Linked DNA regions of Coturnix japonica. The protein of the gene in region 1 interacts with the protein of each later gene in a pairwise test. Links are inferred from orthologs where the notes say so. Each region holds a gene or a part of one and is shown on either strand. Other genes may lie near its edges.

Region 1 (4,006 bases):
GCTCCCCATGGGCCGTGATGCTTCCAGGAGCAAGGACAGGAGCTGGACATCTGCAGGAGCTGTAGTGTCCAGGTGAGCACCCAGGTAAGCGCGGAGCCTTGTGCGATGCCCCGCTGGATTTTACAGCAGAGGTGGCACTTCAAGGCAGCTGCCACGTGTGGGTTATGGCCTTGCCCCTTGCCCCCACCTCTCACAGGAAGATGTTTAACCCCAGCCCCTCTGCCCAACATCACAGAGGCTGCTTAATGCACAGCACAGTTGGGAACGTGCTCGCTGCTGACCAGAGCACAAGGAGGGCAGGGAGTTGCACAGCCCCTGGTCTCCTTTTGCAGCCGGGACAGCTGCAGCGCAGTGCTGCAAGGAGCCGCTGTTGGTGGCTTTGCTCTGCCCCCTGCTGGGGACAGGACGAGGGGAGGGGGACAGGGCAGGACGATGCACGGATGCAGCCACACAAAGATGCAACTGCAGGTCAGAGCTGCTCCAGGAAGGACCCAGCACGGGCTTTATTTTCCAGAACAGGAGCAGGACAAGCCCTACTGCTGTCCTGGGTGCCAGGGCTGTAGGGCTGCCCTGACACAAGCAGCGCAGGGAGCCCAGCCCAGCCCCGTGGTTACAGCACCATGAGCAGTGGGATCCCAGGGCTGGATGCTCCCAGACCCCTGGACGTGCTGCTCCCAGCTGTGCAGCAGCCCCCAGGAGCCAGGCCAGGCTGTGGTGCTTCCTTCCTTCCTCCCCTCACTCCATCACTGCCGGCTCCTGCCCCTCCACGTCCCGTGTCTTGGAGTTCACCAGCTCCCTGCGGATCTCGGCTGAGATCTGTGGGTGGCTGTGGAACTTGAGCAGCTCGAGCAGAGCTTCCTTCTGCTCCGAGGACAGGTCCTCCTTGTAGCGCTGGGCAAGAGCCAGGAAGCTCTGGTGCCACAGCACGGGCAGCGTGCGCTGGTCTGTGCGGAAGGCCAAGAAATGGAAGACCAGGGCATCCACCACACGGAACGGCAGCGCGTACTTCTTGTCGATGAGCAGCCGCAGGAAGATACTGTTGGCACCGTTATATGGCATCTCAGCAATCTTCAGCATGGCTGCACTGTGGGGACAAGGGGAGCAGCAGGTGAGGGCAGGGCACAAAAAGGACGGCTTTGAATCAGCCCTGAGCAAAGCTCCCCCACTCTGAGCTGTTGGATGGGCTGAGGGGCAGTGACTGCCCCAGTGCATTACCTGGAGTGCAGGACAGGGATGGAGCACTTGGTGAGGATGCTGCCGATGATAATGGCCTCCCGCAGTGTGCAGGTCCCCGATTCACACAGGGGGATGAGGATCCCTGTGGGGAGAGAAGAGCTGGGCACCACTGGTCATTGCAGCAGGCAGAGCTGTGGGGTGTGAGGCTCAATCTCTGCTCTCTCAGGGCACATTTAACCCAAGGAAATAACATCTCTGCATCATGGGCACCTTTCCACCTTCCTCCCCCTGCCCTGCCCTGCAGCAGGTTCCCAGGGGTGGAGTGCAGCCCTGCAGGGAGCCCCTACCTTTGAACCAGGCTCCTGGCTTGAACAGAGCCTTCTTCAAAGCCATGTAGAGGTGGAAGTTGAGGCGCTTATACTCAGCGATATCATCTCTGACCCGTGGCAGCAGCACCAGGTTGTAGAACCTCTGGGCCATCCTCTCCTTCAGGTTGGATGAAAATATCCTGTGAAATGCAAAGCATGAAGAGTGAGCTGTGACTCCAGAGCCATCCACCCCCAGCATCAGGATCCCCTCTGCTCCACAGGCACAGGGCAGGAGGAGCAGCTGTAGGACACACGATGGTATTTTGTCCATCTCGTTCCATTACAAGGAGAAAACAACAGCTCAGAGCACACTGAGCTGGTCCCACCTCGTGGCCTGGTACATCGCTGCTGCCGTCCACGTCTCGGGCTCCGTGATGTAGAGGATCTGCTCCCAGTTGGACAGGGCAGGAATGATTTTAAATGCCTTGGGGAGCTTCCCACTCCTGTATTTGGACAGCACCTTCAATGGAAGCAGAGGGGGAAGGGTTTGTCTCAAGGCTGTAAGCAACCTGTCTGCTCCCTGTGCAGCTCCACTGCGTGTGCTCACACAGCACGTATGTGCTCACAACACCCGAGGGACACAGCAGTGCTGTCTGCACTGCTCCGCCGGGAGCTGGGGGGTCCCACAAAGGTGTGTGTGGGGCCGGGGGGGCCGCAGTGCCCTCACCTCTCTGACGCCTCTGTACACCTCTATCACGCGGGGGTCGAGCTGGGGCATGGGGCGGCCCGACAGCTCGGACAGCGCCGTCTGCACCTCCGTCTGCTTCTCCGTGATCTTCTCCATGATCACATCCGCCAGCGTCCGCCTGGGGGGGCGGCAGGGGTCGGTGATGGGGAACCGGAGCTCCCCGTCCACCCCCCGCCCATTCCCACCCCTCCTCCGGTACCTGAGCGGCGCCGCGCGGTTCATGAACATCTCCAGGGCCTTCTCGTCCTCGGGATCCACCTGCACGTCCCCCCCGCCGCCCGTCCCGTCCCACTCCGCCGCCCGCTGCAGTGACGGCCACTCCTCGTCCTCATCGTCCTCCTCCGACCCGCGCCCGCTCGGGGCTGTCGGTGCGGGCGCCCCGGGGCCGTGCTCGGCCTCCAGCTCCTCCTGCTGCCTCCGGGCCTCCCGCAGGATGCGCCGGGACAACCGCGGCCCCACGTATCCGCCGTCCCGTTCCTCCGCATCGCGCCCCGCGTCCCGCGCCCGCCGGTTCCGCACCGTGGGGGCCGCAGCCCGCAGGATCTGCTCGTGCAGCGGCTCCGCCACACGCGCCGCCTTCGGCATGGCCGCAACAGCGACACGCGATCAGACGCGCCGGCGCCAGCACGGCCAGCCCCGCCCCTTCCGGTACCGGCACCGCCACTGCCGGGACGGAGCCATGGGGGTGACCTGGTGAGGGGCCGGTGGGGATGGGGTGATGGATGGGGTGATGGATGGGGTGATGGATGGGGTGATGGGGTGATGGGGTTGGGGCTGGGTTTGGGTTTGGGTTTTGTGGAGGCCCCGCGGCCATTTTTGCTGTTTGTCGCCCCGCAGCGTGACGCAGGTGCCCGTGTTGGAGGGTAAGAGCGTGCAGCAAACCGTGGAGCTGCTGAGCAAGAAGCTGGAGCTGCTGGGAGCCGAGAAACACGGAGCGTTCGGGGTGGACTGTGAGACGTATCACACGGCAGCCGCCATCAGCAGCCAAGGTGGGAACCCGGGGGGGGCGGGTGTAGTGCGGACATGGGGCATCTGCTGGGCTGGTCAGCATGGAGAGGAGAAGGCTGAGAGGGGCTGGGGGCGCTTATCAACCCATACGAATGTTTAAAGGGTGGGTGTCAAAGGAACGGGCCAAACGCTGCTTTTCTTTCAGGGCAGACGGGCAAACTGATGTACGTGATGCACAACTCCGAGTATCCCCTCAGCTGCTTCGCTCTGTTTGAAAACGGGCCCTGCCTGATCGCGGACGCCAACTTCGACACGTTGATGGTGAAGCTGAAGGGATTCTTCCAGAACGCCAAGGCAAACAAGATCGAGAGCCGGGGCACGCGGTACCAGTACTGCGACTTCCTGGTCAAGGTGGGAACCGTCACCATGGGCCCCAGCGCCCGCGGGATATCCGTGGAGGTGAGAATCACCTTTAAGGGTATGAAATCCAGGGCAGGGAAATCCCATGTTGGAGGCTTGGCTAGAAACCTTGAGTCCCCATCCCTTCCATGTATCATCTGTGTTACTCGTTGCTGGCAGGTTGTATTAATGCATTCAATGCCCTCCTGCTGCAGCTTTGGCTCTAAAGCTGCTTTCTCCTGGTCACAGAGCTCTGTGCTGTCAGTGCTGCCCCAGATCTGAGATGAGGTGCTGAAAGGTCTTGTAAAATCTGAGCATGTGTTTCCCTAAACACACAAATCCTATTAACTGGTCTGTAATTAATAATGATGGCGCATCTACCCAGGCAGGTGTTCCGAGCTAACAGGGATGGGATTGAGAAATGCCT
Region 2 (2,933 bases), on another chromosome or scaffold:
TTTAGTTACTGGGAGTAGCTTTTCAAATGCCTCTAATTCACAATGCAACTGAGAGATGGTTTTATGAGTACCAAACTGATTTCAGTGATTCTTAGTTTCTTCCCCACAGCAACAGCCTGAAGTCAAGGACTTTAATTACCTTTGTCCTCATGCTCTTGCTCTCTTCCTCGGTGCCTCAAACCCGACTGAAGATTTGAATATAAGCTTTATATCTCTAATAACAAAATCATCAAGATATTTCAGAACTGTCAGAATAAATTTGTATTTTTTTCTCGCAGCAGAGAATAGTCTTAGAATGTATGAAACTCATACTTGTTTTCAATAGGAAAAATTATAATAAGTCCATCTCAATACAAAATATACTTGATTTACCATGGCAACAAATACTCTGAGGACATTCTTTTAGACATTAATCTTCTACCATTAATTTACACTTTAGTCCAGAAGCTTTTAAACAAAACTTTGACTATGTGAGCAACTATTCAGAGCTGTTGACTCAACGCACGATACTCTGCATTTTCAGTTTTTCTTACTAAATATTTTATTGCCTTTGTGGACATACACATGTGCAAAAAGGAAACCACAGGTACATATTTCTATCAAAAGCAGGTACATATTTTTATCAAAAGCATTGTTAACTGTTAAGAATATGAGGACAAAATGAAATACATATTTTAATTCCCACTGATTTACATCCACGTATTGTTGGCTCCTTAGGGTATTTCTCTACAAACGCAGTTCCACTGACTTGAATGTCAATACAAATGGAATAAATGACTTCTGTCTTCTTGAGTAGCACCAAAGCAGTCAAATGACGGTGCCAGCTCAACCTCCGCTCTTTTTTCTCCCGCTTCAACTTTGAATACTGGGTTGTTTGAGAGACTCTCAAGCAAGCGTAATACTGATATCATCAAGACATCACTTAATATCAAAATATCTTCTAGTTTAGAAGACCAGTGTTCTTCATGCTTCCATGTTACCACAGACAGGCACTTCAGCTAAAGGGATTTCCTGTATCTGAAAACTGTTATCTGTTTAGCTTCTCTTTGTGTAAAAAGCTCATCTGGCACAGAAGCATTTCCCACAAGGATATAAAAGCTTGGAAGCTGAATTTCTATTGTTGTTTTGTTATGTATCAATATAAACAGTACGAAATGTTTGGGTATTTTTTTAACGTATAAAATTAGTGTGCAAAAGTTCAGAAGAGAAAAACTTCATTGTGATTGACAAGATGACTCTGCACATTTAGACAGAAATTCTAAATACAAAATACTTGAAATGCTTAAATATGGTTGTTAAAACAGCTATAAATACGACAAGAATTATTTAAAACAAAAAAAAAAAAAGTCACTAACTTCTGAAAAAATGTCCTGCATTAATTCAAAGGATACCAATAGATCACAGTGTAACAGGAAGTCACCTAGAAATATTAGAGTTGGAAAACTTCCAGCTATAATCACTCTCCAGACCTTATGAATACATCTTTCACTGACAATGCTCGGTGGTTTCCAGGGCTGCAAATGTTCTATTCCCTCCTCATCTGTCAAACCAACTATGGGCAAGCTTACACAAAAGGAAAGATTATTTTTAAGCTTGAAAAGGGCACTGAAATGACATAAAAATGTTGTTTATTCTTCAGGTGCAGAAGATGAAGAATACACCTGGATTTTTCTTTCCCCAGAAGAGATTTTCTAATGATGAGAGAAAATCCTTAACTTTTGTAAACCAGTAAAACTGAATGTTAATAAATGTAATCCTTCATGCTATTAAAATACATATAAAAACTCCAAATTAAAATCAATGCTTATTAAAAGTCTGTTGATGGGGTAATCCTTCCACTAAAACTGCTTGTGGGGATGTGACACCACAGGAGACTAAAATGCTTTCTTTGTCTCCCAGCTGTTGTCTTCTTACACGTGCTTCCACAGAGGGCATCTGCATGCATCTCTTTTGCTGTCTGATACATCAATTGGCAGAAGCATGTATTTGAAACCTAAAAGTATGGCAGTTTTTAAGTTAAGATCTTCAGTGGCTCAATTTAAAAAGAGTCAATGTGATGGCTCCGTGTTGCAGTTGTGGGCACTCAAAATGGAGACAAACAGTCACCTGAACACAAACAGCAAAACATGCCTGTTACGCTTTAAGGTGCAGCTTACTTCTGTTAAGACCAGTGACAGATGGAAATAAAGTTGAAACAGAAGCTAGTTTTGCATCCTGCTCCTGGTACCAGGCTCAGTATTTTGTTGCACAAGCAGAGCAAAAGTCTCTTCAAGTATTTGCATCAAGCAGGCCCTAAACTAGTTAGAATTCCAATCTCTGGATTCTGTGGTGTATTCTGTCACCACAGGCATTAAGCATGCACTGCCTGCAGACCACTTTGACTCATAAGAACAAAATAACCTCTTGAAATTTGTTGTTTTCCCTAGGGCTCTTAGCCTGTCCTTCATTCCTCTTTATTGACTGGAACAAGTATCATTGCACAGCAATCTTCTGAGTCCTTGCACCTCCAGTTACAGTAAGAGAGTGCATTTCAATTAAAAATAGTTTAAAATAGTTTTATCAACACTTCCAGTAGGCCATAAATAGAGCAATTTTTCAGCACATTTAGGAACATGCTACCAAACAAAACAAACTGCACAACAGTGCCCACAATTATGGGCGTTGTCATTAAAGAAAAATCACTGAAAAGAATATCTGATTTGAAAACATTCAAGTTGGTCCACGATTGCTTCAGTAGGATCATCACCTTTTGCAAAACGAAATGCAGCAGCAGAGGATTGTCATGAGGGGGTGTTTTCTTCTGTATTCTAATGCTTTTTTTATTTGCTCTTTGGATTCTCCTACATAGTCCTCAACATTCTGCACGTTTATCTCAATGACGTCAAAGGTGTCTGCCTGTTCTTCCACTAGCAGGGCCACCTGCAGAAAGAGCT

Evidence for each region. The genes of interacting proteins can lie anywhere in the genome.
Region 2: the proteins of BYSL (region 1) and STX11 interact in binary tests that used the Homo sapiens proteins (3 or more experiments, as listed by UniProt). The two-hybrid records come from large-scale screens. The link is inferred for Coturnix japonica from reciprocal best matches to the Homo sapiens genes BYSL and STX11.

Annotation. Positions count from the first base shown.
Region 1 is NC_029541.1:4,735,867-4,739,872, reverse strand, and holds BYSL (bystin), read right to left. Parts: upstream 2,818-4,006; coding exon 2,432-2,817; intron 2,351-2,431; coding exon 2,212-2,350; intron 2,005-2,211; coding exon 1,871-2,004; intron 1,685-1,870; coding exon 1,524-1,684; intron 1,319-1,523; coding exon 1,216-1,318; intron 1,085-1,215; coding exon 736-1,084; 3' UTR 470-735; downstream 1-469. Other genes in the region: MED20 (mediator of RNA polymerase II transcription subunit 20), read left to right, coding at 2,816-2,925, 3,070-3,221, 3,386-3,639. UniProt on the Homo sapiens protein: Required for processing of 20S pre-rRNA precursor and biogenesis of 40S ribosomal subunits. May be required for trophinin-dependent regulation of cell adhesion during implantation of human embryos.
Region 2 is NC_029518.1:41,283,866-41,286,798, reverse strand, and holds the end of STX11 (syntaxin-11), read right to left. Parts: coding exon 2,743-2,933; 3' UTR 517-2,742; downstream 1-516. UniProt on the Homo sapiens protein: SNARE that acts to regulate protein transport between late endosomes and the trans-Golgi network.